Drosophila melanogaster: one gene and its partners. The protein of the gene in region 2 interacts with the protein of the main gene of each other region in a biochemical or structural test. Each region holds a gene or a part of one and is shown on either strand. Other genes may lie near its edges. The genes, in order: DIP-zeta, dpr20 and DIP-epsilon.

Region 1 (6,293 bases), on a different chromosome or scaffold from region 2:
GCAAAGTTTAAGCCACCAAAAGGGAAAAAGGGCCAACGGAATAACCAAAAAGTCATAAAGATTTGCCTGAGCAGTAGCAACTTGAGCGCCCTCTGGCGACCAGTTGATAAATGTCCTTTTTTATATGGTTTATCTGTGGGCAAAAAATTAAATGTCGGAAAATGCCTAACCGGAAATCATAAAAAATACATTTCTTTTCCGACATATTTGATACTTGAGTCTGCGAACTTTATGAAATCTTGGAGAAATAAAGTTTCCATACCGCATGTGCTGACAGCCAAGTTTATGCCAATTAATTTAAATGCTCTTTTCATTTGTTGTTTATCTTAAGTTTTGGTTCTTTCACTCGCTTCCTTCCTCACCGAGCATTCGTTTTTCTTTTACAACTTCATTTTTGTCTATGCCGTAGTATCTTAAGATCATCTAAAAGAAATGTGCACAGTGTGCTTTGATTTTATCTGTACATTAACTATTTATGATATAATTAATAAAAAATCATATATATATATCATATAATTCACTTTATAAACACCACCAATATTTGACTAACTTCATAATTTGTATTAACATCTAATTGATAATATTAATTTAGATTGATTTTTAGTATAGACACTTTATTTTAGAAAATCGAATTTAAAAATTTTTTTAATTTTACTGGTAATATTTTCATTGGACATGTCGATATGTGTCTGATATTGTAGTTTAAATTCATAGGTCTTTGAAATATAGTTGTGTCACGCGCAGTCCTCTACTCTGGTTGCTGTTTCTTGGCCATCTCATTCAAAACTTTCTCTTAAAAATTGTATTTTTTATGGCTTTTGAGCGTGTCGCCTTCAGCTATTTAGGGGGTCCACACGCAGCTTGCGAAACACTTACACAGAGACAAAACTTTTTCCCTTATGACTCGCTTATGAAATTAAGCAATTTTGACTCCACCTCTTCCCCCAAAAACCACGCACACATGATAAAGCTTTTTTGGTATGGACCGAAACAGATTTACCATCAGAAACAAGAACAAGAAGTCCAACAAATTTTATGCACTTTTTTATGAGTTTGGCAAAGTGTTTGTAATTAAATTAATAAATTGTTGAGGGAGAAACTTGTTCCGAATGTGTTTTTCTTGTATTTTTATGCTAGGAAATTAAATTTTAATGGGGCTATTTAGTGTTTGTTTGGTTTTTGCTGTTTTTATAATGATAACTTTTTGGTAAAACAAATTGGCTTATAATTGTTGCGGGATTAAAGGGACTTAACTAAACGGGTGCGTAGATGAAAGAGACAATAACATTTATTTGTTTATGCTGACTAAGTTCATAGCCATTATAATATTTTTTATTGGGTGTTTAAATTTTCTTTTTAAAAGATTCTGTGTAAACGTAAATTAATCCTGACATAGTCATTAGCCCAAAAAAAATGTTCCTAGCTCTCAGGGGATTTCTCCTAAGCTTCTATAAATGCCTGACAGCTTTTAACCTTCATGGTTTTGTGGTAATTGAAGGGAGAAAAGAAAGCAGCACAAAGGAGGCCGAAATTGAATTAAGATATGTTTACCTATGGCCGAATTTATTTACATTAAAAGGTTCTTCAAAGAAGAAGCAAGCTAGAAAGGTTGTGCCTGTTACCTATCACTTATATTTTGGCAGCAAACAATACAAATACATGAAAATAAAATTCCGATTTAATTTGGTTTTATTTAAGGACTTACATCTCTCCCTTATCGAAAATTCGTTAGTTCACGTTACTATTTATTCGGATAATACAAGCTTAACTAGACTCAATTTAACTCTGATTTTATCTGGATAAAGTACTCTATTATATTTTCAGAAGTGCAATATAGAAACTAAATTTACCAAATAAACGCACCAATAAATATGCACTTATGATCAAAGCTCACACATATTTTCGACATCATCATCAGCAGCATCAAAGTTTTGCTATTTTGTTTGTTTTACTCTACACAATTTGTAAAGTTCCTGTAACTGCAAACGTCAAACCGAACTCGAGCAAACAAAACGCAACAAAGCTGAACTCAAAAAAGAATTCAAAAAAGATGGAAATAAATAAAGAACCAATAAGCCCTCTCTTCACTAGCTTTTGAAAAAAGTTCTGAAACAGCTGACATCCATGAGTTTCCCATCCTTCTTCTGCTCTGTGTGTTTACGTGTCTTACTCAAACTGTATCAGCTCCATATTGCCATTGATCTGCAATGATGCCTGAATGCAAAACATACCATTGTACAGTGGATACCCAACAAAATGAATCATTTCACATATGTTATAAATATGAAATAATTTAAATCTTAATTATATATTAAATGGAATTAAAATATTTGGACCATAAGAACCGATATATTGATATTAGTGGTGGATCCATTCTAAGTCTTGGTATATTGAATAAATTATGTAAAGTATTTTTACAACAATTTCTATTAGTTTCCAATGTTGTATACTGTAATTAAATATTTCTCTTTAATATTTTTTTTTTTTAATAAATTGTAACAAAATGCTAAGAAACGTTTACAATGAGCTTTGACAATATTCATACTCAAAGACTTATTCTGCATTTGGAATACAGTTGTGTCCAGTAACACATAGGCCCCACTGTACTCTCTGCGTTGTCTGTCTCTATCTCCTACTCCATTAAGTATGCAAGTTTTCAGCAGTTGGCAGTCGGGTCCTGGCCCTTTTCCCTGCATATCCTGATTCTCATGGATGCAGTGGGTTAATGTATTTTTAAGCTAAATTCTTTGTTTATATTTGCCTTGCTGTTTTCGGTTGTGTTTGTGTGTTGTGCATTGCGTTGCAGTGGCAACAACTGCTGTCCTTTATCAATCGCAACAAATTTCCCCTTCGACTATTTTTTTTGCGAGTTGTCCCAAAGTGAACTCTAGTGGATTCATTTATTCGCATATAAGTTTGTTTGGGAATTTTTCACAGATTGAAGAATGGCGTTGTGTGCGTGTCTGCCAGTTTTCGGGATTTAAGGACTTCGAGGGTCCTGGAGATAGTCTCGCTGTTTGTTTACTTTTTGTTGGCATGAAATGTGCATTAGCAGAGTTAACTGTTAATTGTTTACCCATTTCGAGGGCCTGACAAGTGACATGTGAGTTTGTGGTCTGGATTGTAGCTGTGGTTAACCATTAAATGGAGTTCAGTTATTTGAAATACTCGCACTAAGATAAATCGAAGTCTTTAATTGCATTTGAATGATCTGCAGTCCCAAACATAAACCTTTTACATTATATATTGTAATTAAGATTTTATACATAAATATAATATATAGCGTAACGAAACAAACGCATTAAACCAACTCCTTATTGCATTTTCAATTTTTAACATAGCTTATAATTACTTATCCTAACCGGCACTCGCACTTTTAAAAATTGTTGGAACTTTCGATTTAATATACTTCTGTCACTGATATTTATAAATAATATCTAAAGTTTGTTAAATTTAAAATTCCATATTTTTATAAAGTTTCTATTCTATTCTATGAATTATTAATAAAAAAGACTTTTCCGATGATCAAATTGTTCTTCTGTTTAAGACCTTAATAGTATGAATTGCATGTATTGAAATAATTAATTTACATACTGTAACTACAAGAATATTTTTGTGAATATTTAATTCTGTAGGTTAGTTTTGTGTTACGTATGATATACCAAGTTTTCAACCACTTTTACAAATTGTAATCTTTCAATAAAACGCTTACAAGTTTTGGTATTTTTTTAAATTTTATAATCAAGTGGACCTAAGTTTTTTAGCTCGACTTTTAAGTCATTTCTCAACACGATCACATTGAGTCAGGTGCTTCTAATTTGGCATCGATCACATGACACTTGAGTACGACTTTCCCTTTGCCGGGGATCTTTCAGTGTAACACCGATAAAACGCGTCCGCTTCGTGCAGAATCCGTAGCGAAACTGATTTGCCGACGAAACCTAATGCTCGCACAGAGCCGGGCTCTGGCTTTCCACCAACAACAATAAGGGAAAATCTAACGAATGGGAAGTGCTGTTACGTATACGCCGCGTTGGCCGAGTGATAACAGGCGGGGACGAGCCGACGGCCGACAGAGCGAGCCGAAGTGTAGCTTCGGTTTAAGCCAACCAAAGGACGCTGGATGCTGTTCATTGGTAGTTGTTGCTGCCGGTTGCTGGTTATGTCCGGTATCCTTGTTATGTTCGGAGGCTTGTTGTTTGCGTGCAACCGCAACCACAACAACAGACCGCAAAACACGCGACAAAAATGTTAACAGAGTCCAACCTGCAACACCATGCCCCAAAATCACCTCTCAAAGTTCGAGTTGCATGCCGATTCCGCCGTCGAACCTTTTTGGCTCGTTCCGGCTGAAGCTGTACCCTTTTAATAATAATTGAATTAAGATAAAATGAAAACAAAATCAAAACACATTTTTGCTTTCCGTTGGTTGCTGCATATTGCTATTTGGAGCCAAGTATTTAATTAGACAAGTTAATTAAATTTATTTGCATTTCATTTCAAGTCCATGTGCGTATGTTGAGCGAAAAAAGTGCAATTAATTTGAGATATTCAATTTGCAAGCGTTGCTTATTCGATTTTCGCTGATGCAGGACCATCTAATTGAGGGTGATAATTGCGTTTTATGACTGACTGAGCTAGCAAAGCTGGTTGTCAGTTGGTAGACGGTTAATTAAGAAGTTCTTTTCAAAGTTAACAGTGGTATTTTTGAATGGTTAGACAGATAATATTTTTAGTTACTTATTTTTTGAAGTATTTCATGATGATTTTATCCTATTAAATTAGGTGCACGAAAAAAGTTTTGCTATTTTTTAACTAGACCTTGTTTTAAGGGCACTGTAATCATCTCGACAAGCACTGGTCAGTTGTGCAGAAGGAAAAAAAAACGATGCATATCCGTCTGAAAGTTAGTCTATATATAGACGGATTGTATGCGATATGAGAGTGATGAATTCTCCCTGTTGGCCATACTGAACTATCTTAATGAACTCTTTCAAATCACAGACATCGCTCAATGCCAAAAACATTAAAACTGACAAGGCTAGACGGCAGACAAGATGACTGCTCTGTGACCCTCTCCCTGGGATTCCTCTACACACCACACACCCAAGGAGAAACGTGCACCATCGCTTGGCAAGTTCATTGTGGGGGGAATCCCAGAGGTGATAGGGCGGCGAGTGGGCGTGGTCGACTGTTGCGCCAGGATGTGACCAAAACAGGAAGAGTGGGTGGAGCGGGTGGATTAGGTGATGGCGAATGAGGAGGCGGAGGCGGAAAGGCCACAAAGGTCGTTGCAACACATTCGCTTCGTTGGGTCAAAAGTCAAGCGTTGGACGGGGGATCCCTTTGGATGCCAGCCATTACAACACTTTGTTGGCTGCTTTGTAAAGTTTTTCTCACCATGGAAAAAGTTTTTTTCTCTCTTTCCCAGTCTTTTTGTATTTTTCACGCCTTGTCCGAAAGTTTCCTGTTTTTCCCCTCTACTTGTTTTGCTATTTTTTCCCGCTGCCGCCTTAACAATGAAATTTTTGACTGCTGATTGTTTGCTGTTCAATGTTATTCTTCCAGTTCAATGCGAGTTTAAGTAGACAGAGCTAAACAAAATGGAAAAAAAGTATACAAAACCGGTCGGAAATATTGGACCTCCTTCTCTGGTACTTAGCCAAAGTCTGCAGCAAATTGAAAATGGAAAGTTTGGTTCCTGTTTTCCTGTGTAGATATATTCACAATTTCTTTTGCAGTTTGTCTGCGACTTTGGTTAAGTATGCCCTGCAGTCTAGTCTCTCTGCTAAGGACTGCCCAAATGAGGTAAAATAGTTTGGGGAATACTATCGGCAAAGTTTTGCCCCGGCTTGTCTGGTAAGATTTATATTTGGGATATTTGAGTTTAGGAAACAAAACAATACATGTACGAAAATCCGACCGAGTAATAAAACAAGATTAAAGATGAGAATCGAAAGTTTAATGGGCGGAGATTTGTAGACCCTTTTATGGCCAACAAACGTAATAACATCACGTAATTTTGAGGGTTGAAAAAACCGCAGGCTGACGTCGCATTTCCATTTTCCCAGCGGAGGCGAAAATGGAATGGATTTAAAACCAACTCCCCATAAGCATGCATTCATTTTTCCAGCAATTTTCACACTCAAGCTGGCATGCACTTTGCTGCATCTCCCCTTGATGCATCCCCTCGTTTTATCTGACAGCTGCACTTACGCAATGTTACGCATAAGTGCCCTTTAGCACCTAGCAAGTTGAACATTTTTTATTTCACTTTTTCTGGCAGTCGATGA
Region 2 (8,135 bases):
GATACCCTTCTGGAAGAAATACAATATTTAAATAGGATTAATTATAACATAGAATTATTCATTAACCACCTAAACGACATAACAGAAAGTATGCTATTGGCGAAAATAAATATAATTCCCAAGTTCATCCTAAATGAACAAGAAATGGATAAAATAAAAACAATACTGGAAAAACAAAATATCACAGTCAAAAATGAACAAAGTATATACAATTTCCTACAAATGAATACACTAAATTACGAACAAAAGATTATTTTTAATATCAAAGTCCCAATTTTTAAACAACCTTTTCATACCCTCGCCAGACTAGTTCCATTACCAATAAATAACACATATTTTGTAATAACCCCAAATTACCTAGCTTATAATATTAATAATAAGAAATTTCATATGACCCGTAAATGCCCCAAACTGGATAATACATTCTTGTGCGACGAGAACTTCTACGTTGATACACCACAGAACAACACATGCCTGGAACACCTTTTGAACGGAGAAAACAGTTCCTGCGATGTACGGGAAACCGGCCCCATCACCGACGTGTTCGAGGCAGAGAGAGGTTACATCTTCGCATTCAACGTGAACAAACTGAAGGTATCCCTAACAAACGGCTCCGAGCTCTCAATAATGGGGTCAGCCATCATCAGATACATTAACGAAACAATACAGATTAACGGTATCGATTACGACGGCACGGTTGACACGTTCCCTGAACAGACGGATTTTGATCTTCCCCCCATGCGAAAAGTAACTAGGAATACCACTATTACGGTACTAAGCCTAGAAAAACTGCACCTCGAAGCCACCCAAACAATGGATAAAATCCTGGCCGTCCATCACAATACTATACAGCACACCTGGACACTCTACACTCTGCTCGGATTGGTAACGTTCCTAGCAGTCATCTTATGGCTGCACCGACGAACGAAACACATCGTCCACATCCACGAGGATCATCACGTACCAATCTACGCGTCATCCATACCTTCGCTATGGCCGTCACTTCGAACTGGGGGGGGAGGAGTTACCACCCCACCCCCTAAACCCCCACGCCTCTAAACAAATCATCGGACACTCAACCGGGAAGACGGCAACTGGAACACCGCATCCGGCCGAATGCTGACATTCCGGCCGAATGCTGACATTACACAAAAGTCGCACTGCAACATTGTCCCCAGCTAGCCAGCCACATGCCGAGTCGGCATGTTCATTATGCTTACAATTAAGAACCTATGTACTTATGTATAAGACGAAAACGGAGGACTCGAGTAGCCACTCTCTGACAATAAACTTCATACTGATTTTGAACTTCAAGAAAGTCAGTCGTATTCTTTATTGGAAATCTTCACACTACAACTATCTGCTGAAACTTAAAAACCTTCATACATTTACACATCATATCTTCACAAAAGGCTCCACCCTCGATCACGGACTTAACTCGCGCGTCTGATAAGACGAGGTTCGTCTGAAATGGAAGTCCGAGATACCAGACCAGAGCCACAACAGAGGCCAATCATCCCCCATGCTATCCACTATAACAACTCTTCAGCGAGTTGGTCTAAATGGACAGTGAAGACCCACGTTGACTAACTTCTTATCATATATCGTTGAGAGTTTGAAGCCTAAGAGACATATAATACTTTGCGTGCCACAATGTTGAATCTTCATTTGGAACTTCGTTTCTATAACCTTCTGCTGGGGAAAAACAATTAAGGGAGGTTATACTGTGTTCTAAATAAGTGGCGCCCTCTGGTGTAGCACAGCACATTTATGGAAAGTATGTTATACTCGCTTGCTTTACCATAATTTTTACTTCTATAAAAATTTTAGAAACGAAGAAGCAACTGCTTTATGGAAATTGTTCCATACGTTGCGAGTTCCAAATAGAGGTCAATCCAATATACCCATATACATCCTTATTAATCAATCTATTATGATATAGATACATTTTTTATCCCATAAATATAGTCAAAAAATAATTTATGTCTGATTTTGATACCTGATAATGGTTATATACCTTATCAATTGACTGCCTTGAACTGCTTATTCCGAAACGAATTCCCCCACATAAGCACCCCTCGTTAACTCCGAAAGGTGAGTCCTTTTAAAAGGACTCCTAGAGACACCATAGAGGGGAAAAACTTAACGAAACAAGGACATGCGCAGATGGGAAAAGAGAGAGATCATCCTGTGGTGAAGCCGAGCACAGGACGAGCAGGACATTAACAACAATTGGGACCCAGTTCCTTAAGCAGTCATTGGCGAAGCCTTCAACCGCGTAGACGTTCTTCGCAAAGAACCGGATGGACGAGTGATCCGTACTCCCGATTTCGACCAAGTCGGTGTCGTCTATTTGGTGCGTGATGCAGTTCGAGCCGTCACTGCGACCTGCCTTCGTTTCGGTGCAACTGAAGAATGCATGAGGATTAGGTCCGCTGCCCAATGCATTTCCCTCAGATCCTGTCCGGATTCAATCCTTGTGTCCTTGTTCCGTTCTGTGTCCCCTGTGCATATTACAAACGGTGCATTACAAGCGTGTGCATCAGTGAGCCCCGAAAGTGAATGAATCCCGAATATGATTCGAAATCGTAACGATCGTTCCTAGAGCACATGTTAAGCTAATCAATAAGGATATCCCTGCTGTATGTGAAATTAATCAAGTTGATATCTACGTGACGGCCAAACCAAAACGAGCAGGCAAGAAAAGACAAATGGCCAAAGTGCGTGAGACGCCATAGGTGACCCCAAAAAGGTGACCCACAAGAAGGGGAAATAGTCGAGTCCAATGCAGTTTGTTAGAGCCGACTACTTGAGATTGCAAAATGCGTTTGAATGAACCAGCTGCAAGAACGCGACCCAGAACTAAATCAACGACAGACGCCACCAAGTTCTCATCATCCAGGGGTGACCTTCACCTCGATTGCGCCGTGCCCAACCTGATCAGGCTGCTCCTCCTCATCGCAACGATCATGGGCTCCGGACTCGTCCAGGCCAAGACAATTTACGACTCGGTTAACATGATTCAGTCGCTGGATGCCTTGGTTGAGCCACGGGAAACGACCAAGGTTCCGCTGCAAACAACGCCAGCCACGCCCCCCACTGCCCACGCCCACATCCACAACCAGGTGTCCACGTTACGGAGTAGTTACGGTAGGCAAATTGCGAAATTGCTACCCGCTAGCTTTGCAATGCGGTTAATGCATAATTATATAATTGGTTTTCAATTATCCTGCTGACTCAATTGCTTCGCAGCCATTGTACGTGCAATCATCGTGTCCAAAATGCCTTCTGGAATTTCATATACCCTTGATTTAACCACATGAAAGGAGACCTCTTTCAGAAACTGAAACTTATGGTTTCCGAAAGGAGGTCAGCACATAATCAAGGTTTTTTAAGTGAAATGAAAGGGGTTAAAACTTCAAAAAAAAAACGCAGAAGTTGAAATTGCAAGTGAAAGTGATTAAAGATTAAAGTAATGTGTCTGTTTTTTGGGCACAGAAAAGCCCCACAACATTTTAAAGTTTATTGGTGCGTGAAAAATATAATAATAAACTAATAAAGTGTCTTTGATTGAAAATATTATGCAAATTGTTTTTGTATAAATTGAATGACAGTTTGCTGTCAAAAAGTTCGCTGGAAAAAATGCTCATATTAGGAAATACTATTTTCCTAAGTATTTTCAAACATTTTCTATGAAGAGCCGGAAATGAATATGTATAAAGAATATAAAGGATTTGTTTTTGATAAATTTCTCTAAGTTCCAAGGAAGTTAATGAATTTACAGTCCAGTTAATAGTTTTTAAACTTTCACTTGTTTGTTCATTTTACTATGACCCAAAAATTTCCGAGTTTGAAGTTTTTTATTTGCAGAGGCAAAGCACTTAAAGTTTTAAACAGTAAATTAAATTTTGTGCACAGAACATTTAACTTTCCTAAATTTCAATACATGCGATGACTGCGAAATATTTATTTGTTTAGCTTTGGCGTAGTAAACTAAACATTTGTATTGTCCCAGTGTATTCGCAACGAACAAACAAACTCCGCCACAAATATCGGCCAACTTGGCATTAGCATATAGACATATAGCTATAGATACAGTGGGGGACAAATTAATAGGGGCGACAGTCGTATTGTGAACATGACTATTGTTATAAAAACCATAAACTATGTTTAGTTATGGTATAGCTGGAAATAGAATGCTAAAAAAAGTTACGTTTTAAACTCAAACGATTTTTCATTTTTCTTTTTCTGTGTATCCTTCAATTGCCAAATGGTCCCAGTAAGAAAGTAAGAATAAATCATCCTTAAGTGTAATGCTATTTTTGTGAACATAGCTGTTCGCACACTTGAGTGGTTGAGCAATGTCATCAATTGTCTCGCCCACATCTCCTCCTCTCCTCCCGCAAAGCCGAAACATAGATTTCACTAAAATCAATAACTCCTTTGCAGAGGATTCAGATGATGGCGTAGATGGCGATTATGTCATCCCAGAGAGCCAGACATCTACGGTGGCGATCCTGGATCAGGATTCCTCCATGAAGGGCCAGGACATGGAATCGTTATCCCTGCAGGCAGGATCGGGCACAGTTTCACCAAAGAGCAGCCCCGATTCGTCCGGACACAAGAAGAACGCCTCCTTCCAGCAGATTGGCAGCCAGAATGTTAACGCCTTAGTGCCGGCCACAGTGGCCACCACTTCATCCGGCCTCCCGTCGAGCAGCAACGCCTCCTTGGCCACGCCCACGGAGCCGGCGAGGAACCGGAGCACCGGACTCGTCCGCAACTCCGCTGTCAAGGTGGACAGCAAGCATCCACTGTCCAAGGGCCAGAAGACGGACGCACCCATGCTGAACTACATCTTCGACACGTTCTCTTCGGCCAATAAGCACCATCATCACGATCAGAGGTGAGTTGGATAAAATCCCTGAAAGCCATAAGATCTTTATTAAGTCCACATCAGCAGTAGCAGGTTATCCATCGTTTTAAACGAGCTTAGTCGGATTTTAGAATCCTTAAATTTCCTTTTCTATTTAATTAAAAAAAAAAAGATATAAAACGAGCTGATTCCGTGATTCTGTGCAGGTATGGCCCCCACTTCGAGGATGTGCAGCGGATTGGTCAGGCCACCAATCTCACCGTGCAGGCGGGCTCCAGCATTCACCTGAACTGCAGGATCTCACTGCTGCAGGATAAGACTGTGAGTTTAGATTATGAGATGCTATTCGAATTGAATCGAATTGAATGATTTTTCGGGGTCACCATATTTAGGTTCATTACTTAGTCTCAAAAAGATAAATCCTTTTTAGTTGGTATAACATAAAAATGTATGTTATTTAACTTTAAAAACAGGTCTCTTGGGTGCGGCACAACACGCAGGACGAGGGCAAGGACAATGGCAACGCCCTGGACCTGCTGACAGTGGGCATGCACACGTATACGGGTGATAAGCGCTACAAGATGGAGTTCCAGTACCCAAACAACTGGCGACTGAAGATAACCAATGTGAAGAAGGACGACGAGGCTATCTACGAGTGCCAGATCTCAACGCATCCGCCACGCGTCATTCAAATCAACCTGCACGTTAATGGTGAATATCCAACTCTCTGATGGGTAGCAAGAAAGGGATTTAGTATGCTTTAACACAGCTCCGAAAGTGATGATAGTGGACGAGGTGGGTGATCCGCTGCAGGAGAAGTACTACGAGATCGATTCCACGCTACAGCTCTCCTGTGTGGTGCGAAACGTGGCCATGACCAGTTCCGTGGTCTTCTGGAAGCACATGGACAACATCCTTAACTACGACGTTACTCGCGGGGGAGTGAGGTGAGTGAATTTAGCTTGGTCGGGGTCACCATCAGTAAGGTTCATTTATTACGTATCCTCGCAGCGTCAAAACCGAACTGATGGAGGATGGAGCCAACTCGACGCTCTCGATAGCGAAGATCAGTAAAACGGATTCCGGCAACTACACATGCTCCATCAGTGAGTTCCAGAACTTCACCATAGTGGTTCACATTCTGAACGGTGAGTTGGTGTAGAGTATTCATCTAGAGTAGGAACCCATATCATATCAGCAATCTCTTCCAGGCGAAAGCTTCGCCGAACTGCATCATGGTGGTGCGGTTGGATGGCACAGCACGTGGTGGAATATGGTGATGCTGCATGCAATGGCACTCCTTGTGCTAAATAGTCTAAGGGGGGAGTTTAGCTAAGGTAGCTTAACTAGGACTAGGTAAATTGAGAGAACATCGTTCTCCCGTAGCTCTTTTTGTTGATTAATTGTAAAGTTTTTGAATTTGGAGGGGCAGTTATTGGAAATAACTTAAAACGCAGCCTAAGTTTAACTGGCTATTATAGATATGTTTCTACGTCTATCATCAATTTGTACATGAGCAGGCACGCGTAGGATTAAGCTAGGATTAAGGACTAAGCTCGAGTGTATTTGAAATCCGGAGAGAGGCCAACGAATTTCCCTAGCAGAGTGTCTCACAGTCAGAGTTCATGGTCTGGCCTAGATCTAGATCTATATAGATCTAGTTGATACAGGAATGTAAAGCGTAGTGTAATCTAAGTCACCACCAGTTCATAATCACGGCTTGTGCGGCAAGGATCTCAGAGCTCCTGGGGGAACTACTCACTCAATGTTGAACTAGTATAAAGTGCAATACGGTCATATACATATTATATACATACACACTCGCGGCAGAAGCATCAAAGGATATGTTAATAAACGAATACTCGTATGTACGCAATAATAAAGTGAACTATACATGAATCCAATTTGAATTTCGCAGAAGGGCGGGAACATCGATGGAATTTAAAATATATTTATATATTTATTCATATATTACACATTCTATTATCTTGACCACAGCTGTGCGATTCATTCACAAACAGGTAGGTGGCGTTCTTCAATTGTTTTTAATCAGCACTTTGGCAATATATTGGTACATATGTACATACACAGATAGTGCAAGAGATTAACCTATGGTTATGGTGCAAAAGGCACACATTATGTCCCTAATCTAATCGCTAAGAAGTCTATTTGCTTTGATGTTTGTGCCACAAGAATTAGCATTCATATCTCTTGGGTTTTAAAATAGGCGGACAAAATCACTGAGACGGTAATAAACTTAAGCCGTATTTATAATTTCGCCTTGTTTTTACGGCTGGCAAAGTCTATGATGGCCTGGGCAAACTCGGGATGCTGGAACTGTTGGAGCAGCTGCTTGCACTCCGCCTCGTTGGCCTTGATGAGATTCTCCAGGAAGCCATCCTTGACGAGGCGTTTCCCCTGCAGAAGGGAGTTCGTCGGCAGCTCGGAATACTGACGCAATTTGGGCCAAATCACCGACTCCAATTCGCTGGCCTTGAAGATCCTCGAAACAAAGTTGAACTGATATGCCTCCTGGGCGCTCAGCGGTTCGCTTAGCAGCAGGATTTCCGACGCCTTTGAGCGCCCCAAGATGAGGGGCAGCATATAGGAGGAACCGCCCTCTGGCACCAATCCCAGTTTGGTGAATGGCGTGTAGAAGTAGGTCTGCGATGGTATTTATCAGTCAAGTCATGCTGCCATAGCAAATTTGAGGCAATACCCACCGTTTCGGAGCACCAAGCCACATCGCACAATCCCACAATGGTGGCTCCAATCCCAATGGCAGGTCCGTTCACCAGGGCAAGCACAATCTTTCTGCAGTTGACGAAGCTCAGAACCATGGCCTTCAAGTAGGGATTGGATAAATTATAAAAAAATGAAATGGGATATACAGATGTGCCACCTTGAAAGTCGCATTGGACTGCTTGAAGAAGGCGTCGATGTCATCGGTATTGGAGGATTGGGACAAGTCGTTGCCGGACGTAAAGATGTCACCCACGCCGGTGAAAACCACAATGGTTACGCCCTCATCGTCGTTGACCTCGGTCAACACACGGGTCATCTCCTGGTAGGCGACCCTGTTGATGCAGTTCTTCTTCTTCGGATTGTTGAACTTGGCCACGAGCAGCTTGCCCTGCTGCTCCACAAGCAGTTCCTTGTATCCTTGGTAGGTCATCTTGCTGCCAGTGCTGTGCGCGGAATGAGCGACAAAGTCCAATCAGTGGATCATTTTACTGTGATTGCCGGTAGCTATTGTTGT
Region 3 (6,392 bases), on a different chromosome or scaffold from region 2:
GTTTGTCATTTTCCTGGTTAACTACTGAACAAGAGTGGGGGTGATTGCGGAAAAGGTCACCGTATAATTGTCAATTTCATTTGTGTGGCGCCCAACGCGGGGCGAAGAAGTTGAAGTAGGCGTCGTTGAACAAATAAAGGCAGACAGCAATAAAATTTATTTAAGTGCCCTCATAATTGTTAACAACAATAACAACAAATATAATAAAATCCAAACAAAAGGCAGCTGCAAGTGAAATGAGCAATTATTAAGCCATGAAAATTTTAAGCCAACAACAACACGCGTCATAATAAAGTTATTATTCCAATGAAAGTCCCACCAGCGGGTGGTTCTGGGGTATTTAAAGTGGGAAAGGAAGTATGCTACGTAAAATACTGAGCAATGAAAATATTAATAACGTTAATGAAAATTACATTTGCAGGCCGCAAACTTGAGGAGCAGATTGTGCAGATTTATTCGACTATTTGTTCTTTTACATTTTTTCGCGCTCCTTTTGAGAGCATTTCGAATCAAACGAGGCGTTTTATGTTTAATGCATTTTCATTCTTAAATGATATGTTTACATGATATGGTCGAGTTCAGTCAAATCACACAACCCCCAGCAATAATATTATACACTAAAAGTAATAAATAGGTGGACCATGCTATTTACCATAAAACCCTTATTATTATAAGTAAATAGCGCAGAATATCTGATTATGATAAAAATCGAATTGTTTACATCATTTAAAATTACAATCATCATTATTTACCATTAATTGAATAAAGCTTAGTGCACCAATATTTTACTTTTCCGGATAAATTACAAATTGAAAAGAGAATGATGATTGCACATATTAAGTCCATTTATTTGATTAATACAAATACTTATTATTATCGTTCCCTGCATTTAAAAACCCCAAAAAAGAGCAATCTGCAGCAAACATTTTAACTATATTGTTTGCTATAGAATGAAGTATAATTTTAAACAGAATTTTTTGGTTTTCCTTTCGTGATACAATAAGTATAATTATAATAAAGGACATAACATTAATTTCCTAAATATTATTTTTACTCACCATTATTTAGGGTTGAGCCACCGACGTTACCGGCGTTGCCTTCACTTCCAGTATCTGTACTTAGTGCCACAGAGGAGGCAATCAGGCAACCAAGGCCCACATACAGAAACGAAGAAATCGCTTCGAGGTGGTATGCCATTTTGCTGTAAGTTTGATGCCCCTTTTTTTTACCGTTGTTTAGCTTTTCAATTAAGAAAACTTAATTATTTATTGCGTACAAATATTGTGCAGCATTACAGTATATTCCGGCTCATGTTGTGTTTGCTTTTGGAATCGATCAACGTTTAATTGCGATTGGCTTTTATGCACGCTACCCCTGAAATATGAGGAGAAATTATAGGTTGCCATTATTGATGAAAATATTAATAAAAAAAAGAAATTATACATGGCTTCATGCTTTTAGGCTTAAGTGTACATTTAATTTGTCATTGCTCAATTTTCCATTTACCGCAAGGAATGAGACCTGTTTTCGTGTTACACGGCTATCCCATACCCTTTACACGGCTTATTGATTACAACCGTACTTAATCATATCTTATAAACTTTAATCTAAGCTTTCAAATTTATAATAGTTGAAGAGATTTTGTATATCATACATACGGACAGACGAGCGGACACACCATTTTTTATGCTTAAGATTTTTATGAGCCATTTTAACCAGACCCACACCTGGCTTGCATCTTTTTCACGGATTAAGGAGTTTTCAATAAAGAGGATCAGCATTAGGAAGATATCAGAGCAGTGACGAACCCTAAGTCTCCGAACGACCTCAAATCCGTTCAAATGCCAGGGACAACGTTATCGTCACCATCAGAATTATCAGCTTCCTTTTCGTGGTTGTTTTGCTGCATGCATGCATAGAAGAATTTTTTCCTTGTTTTTAATTCCTGCTCGTGTCATAAGCGAAAAGCAATTTGCTCTGTCAGCTGTTGTTTTACACTCCGGCTACGGCAGTCAAGTAAACCCATGGAGGTCCTTCCAGTCTCGTCAATTTCTTCATTCTATTGCAATATGAATGCATTTCAATTAGAATGCCTCCTTGGGGACAGCTGTTGTGGATTTTCCATTAAGTAAGGGTTATTGAAACCGAATTGCAAACTTAATTGATTTCTAAGCCGGCCGACTTAACATTCATTTTGGTTGTGATATCTAAACAAAGATTTTGAACGTTATGCTGAGGAAGATTTTAGTGAACCATTGACATCTTATAAGATTCAATTTTGTTTCTTATAAAATGTGTTTTTTAGATTTAAGCGTTAATGACCCAAAGTTCACCTGATTGATAAGCAACCAACTGATGGTCAAAAATATATGTATTATTGTATGAATGACATAAATACGTGATAGTTTGGTACACCAAAATGTATTGTCTGGTGTATTTTCACGCGACGACGATTGTTGCATCCATAGAACTAACCGCGAAATGTAAATGGACCGTGAATTCGTAATGCATTTAAATCATTGTAAACAGCAATGTTTGTGCCCCGCAGACAGAAAGGATATTTCCCACATCTTCGAAGTGATGTAGCCGCATGATGAAAAGGAGCCAGCGGTGAATGCTCCGCCGGTCTGACTTCTGCTCTGTCTTTCCGTCTCCTAGGGAGCATTTACTCGCTTTTGCATAATAAATCAATTTACATTTCCTTTCACACGCAAAAATGAATAACGAATAATAGCAACAAGCCCGTGGCGCAGAAATCTTCTATCGTATTCTTCGGGTAAAAGTACGTATAGCATGAGAAAGGAGTGCTTCCTTTCTGCACTATAATCACACCGAACCGAATCAATCAATCAAAATGAAATTAATTATTTAATTATAATTATTATTTCTTTTCTTTTCCACAGCACAGGGAATTCAACCAAGTGCTTGTGTCACCCAAAGGATTCGATCTTTAGAGCTAACTTTTTAATGACGATTGTGTTTATTTATTACTGAAGTGAACATAAAACTTCAATTTCACACTAACCGCAAACAGCGCATCGTAAATTCGTATTACCTCTTAAAACGATTTCATTCCACGGTATATTAATCTTTTCGATCGGACAATCATTGCAGATTTCTGCACGTTTGTTTACATATATAGTAGCCGGCTTTTGCACTTCGGTGCACATTGCCACCACGTAGACGGCCGTCAGGAAGATATATAAATATCTGAGTCAGACTGTGCCGCGGGAACTGGAAACGCACAATTTAAGTTGGAAATAAAGACAGAGGATGGTTTAATTTAAACAAGTAGATATTGGTCTTTACGAGGATGCCATTGGCCATGTAAATAATAATAATAATTTGCTACGCATTTAGTACTTAGTTTCATAAATGAAACAAAAAGAAAATTAAATTTGAAGTTAGATTTGCATACAATTCGCATTATTTTGAAAGCCGGCTAATGAAACATTCAAAGTGCAATCAATTGCCTGCACAGCTTCTCCCAGCAGATGTAAACCAATTCGGAAGGATCCTTTGTAAAAGATGCAGCTCCCTAAACAGGCCATCCTGCGAACTCACTATTCAATGATGCCCCATCTGCAACTTCGTTCTCCTCCATCCGATGTCGCCCTGCTTCCAGAAACTAATAACTCACCGTGGCAATGTCTGGCTGCTGGATGGGGCGTCAGATGTCGGCAGGAATCAGCAAATCAATTTATAAATAGAGCAGCGAGACAACATAACAACGGATTTTCATGTTTCCCTCTGCCGTTCTCCGTTTTTGCAACATAACTAAATTAGGGGACCACGCGGCAGACACACAGACGCCGTCACAAAGCCAGCAGCTCCTCCGGTGGGCAGCGGAGGTGCATAAATGGCATGGGATATCGAATAAAAGCACTCACAGCAGTTGATTTACAACAACCATTCGCCGCCACTAATGCCAATCGAAAATACTATTTTAAACTATTTGGCCAGTGCAAATAAGAAAGACCACGTCCACGCACGTCTAACGAAACCGATTCTGGTTCTGATACCGTTACCGATTCGGGTTCGGGATTCAAAAGCGATTGCGACTGCGACTGCGAATACTGATGCGGATGCGGTACCGCAGACTAACGACAACCGAACGAAACGACAGCCGATTTCACACTGGCAGCAGCATCCCGTCGTGCGATTCACTTCGGCTGCGGCATGTTAAAAAGATAAACAAATGTTGCGGTTGGCCGTGATTTATGTTAGCTTACATATGTTTATAGCCCTGGCTGCAGAGCCAAACAGCACTTTCTGCTACTAACAGCCCCGAAAACAGCGAACAATCAATCCAACGATCCGCCGAGTGTTTTAATGCACCACTCCACTATCCGTTCCGTCAGCTAATGCGGCGGGTTAAATTTTATGTTCATCATGTGAGAGAAAAAATGTGAGAAAAGCCAAAGGTCGCAGAATTTCCAGTATTAGTATGTGCATATGTGAGCTAAATAAAGAAACGTATTATTTCTTTCTGAACATAATAGAGCAGGGCGTATCACTTGTGTAAGCATTTTTGAGTTATCCCTCAAAACTCCCTCATCTGTCTTACAGTGAAAACATGTTTTTCATCTTCGCTAATCATTGAACATTTGTTACTTGGTCTTTGAGCGGGCATAATGGAATAATAGCTTAGCACTTTAACACATTTACAGCTAGGGACTGCAAACGCATTTCCAAGTTCTGTGACCATAAATGTCAGAGTTCAAAAGGCAAGACTTCTTTAGCTTGCTGTTAACATCGCTATCTTAAGAAGAGGATGCTGCAATACAAACTTCATTAAAGAGAAATTTATAAAAGAACTTGGTTTCTTTGCTCTACATTTCCCTTTATAACCCCTAACAAAGCTCACACAATTTGGTCCTACAAGCCTTAACATTTCCCATTTTACACCCCAAGCAAAGCTTCATCATGTCGGTCCTGCAATACCCTAACATTTCCCGTTATTACCCCTGATAAAGCTACTGCTAGTCGAAAGCGCTCCGTGCCGTGAATTTATTAACTTTGAGCGTCCGTCTAAGCTTTAAGTAGTGACGAAAGCTCCTGTCACAAGACGCTTTGCTCTCCTGTTGACTTTAGCCACTTGACAGCGCAAAACGCGAAAGCCACAACACTCAGTCGAAACAGCTGACTCTCAAAAGGTGGCCACCACCCACCACCCAACTGCTGCAGGGCCAAACAGAAACTCCGTCACTAGGCTTACGGAGCATTTAGCCAAGAAAGCGTGGGGGCGTCACCGTCACTCACTGACGTCGACGCACTCGGCGCATGAAAAACAGTTACGCTCTGTGCCGCGGAGTGTGTGGAGTTGCGTTGAAAGGGGCTCCGGAGTCCAAAAGGGTAATCGGAAAGCCCACGGGAAGGGGCCATCACCGCGGAGCCTTGACCCGAGCGTAATGAAATGTGGCGCCTGGCTGGCGAAAAAGTGACGTGAAATGCCAAGTGCAGCCGCATCGAAGCCAGCAAGGATCTTGTAGCAGCGACAGGAGCAGCCCCTTCTCCATGGGTTCATGCCTTGGCAGCTGTGCCACAGCTGCCGCCGCACCAGCCCACTCCGCCTGCACCTCAACGTCCGACTCCACCACCCACTCGACTTCCTCGACGTCGTCTTCACTGACAACTCCCCCCACGTCCTGGGTGGCCAACAGCTGGCTCTGGTGAGTGGGGCCAATTAGTTGAAGCTCAACTCCGCTGACTTTCGTTCGCGCGCAAATCCGCTGACCAATCAATAGTGGCTAAGCACGGGGTGGAATTGGCTAGTTGGGGGTCAACAGCCTAAAACTATGCAACGGCCGCTGGTTGCCACAAAACAATGTGCCACAGGCGGGCTTCCCGCCCAAGTGGGTGCTTACTGCAACCAAATACGTAAACAGTAAATACTAGTTATATGTGATATTCTTTAAGAGTTAACAAAAGCTTTTACTTTATAATAATTATTAAAAACATCTTTAATAAAAAGTGGTATCTTTCATCTTCTAGGCGAAAGAACAGATCTGCAGGAAGACAAGATCCAGAGGCAGATCTCTTATCGAGGACCACCAGGCAGCGCTGCCAACGGAACGGATTCATCTACCGCATCCTGCGGCTCAAGAAAAGGCAGCAGTGTCCCAGCTTCCTGGACAAGTACTGGGAGCAGCAGCCCAGCTACGCCAAGCTGCCGACCACGTATGTTAAGTCTCCTAAGGTGCCTCCTAGAAATAAAACCAACTTAATCCTTGCAGCGCCATGGCGGACATTCAAATGCAGAACCTGGACGCCGGCAAGTTGCTCAACGCCCAGACCACGCCCAGTCGGGAGACGGAGATGGGACTTGGAGCCTACCAGCGCATGGCCAACTCGCGGGCCAGCTCCTCCTTGGATCTCGAGTGGGAACACGA

What was found.
Region 1: the proteins of dpr20 (region 2) and DIP-zeta form a complex in vitro, tested with the Drosophila melanogaster proteins (one study listed by BioGRID).
Region 3: the proteins of dpr20 (region 2) and DIP-epsilon form a complex in vitro, tested with the Drosophila melanogaster proteins (one study listed by BioGRID).

The regions. Positions count from the first base shown.
Region 1 is NT_033779.5:9,067,238-9,073,530, forward strand, and holds the start of DIP-zeta (Dpr-interacting protein zeta), read right to left. Parts: upstream 3,928-6,293; 5' UTR 3,595-3,927; intron 1-3,594.
Region 2 is NT_037436.4:851,358-859,492, reverse strand, and holds dpr20 (defective proboscis extension response 20), read left to right. Parts: upstream 1-2,244; 5' UTR 2,245-2,822; coding exon 2,823-3,150; intron 3,151-4,449; coding exon 4,450-4,906; intron 4,907-5,082; coding exon 5,083-5,197; intron 5,198-5,349; coding exon 5,350-5,587; intron 5,588-5,645; coding exon 5,646-5,823; intron 5,824-5,887; coding exon 5,888-6,024; intron 6,025-6,087; coding exon 6,088-6,212; 3' UTR 6,213-6,773; downstream 6,774-8,135. Other genes in the region: Dci (Dodecenoyl-CoA delta-isomerase), read right to left, coding at 7,145-7,540, 7,600-7,719, 7,779-8,051.
Region 3 is NT_033779.5:6,407,187-6,413,578, forward strand, and holds the start of DIP-epsilon (Dpr-interacting protein epsilon), read right to left. Parts: upstream 4,141-6,392; 5' UTR 3,641-4,140; intron 1,375-3,640; 5' UTR 1,198-1,374; coding exon 1,059-1,197; intron 1-1,058. Other genes in the region: CG13982 (uncharacterized protein), read left to right, coding at 5,518-5,672, 5,995-6,180, 6,237-6,392.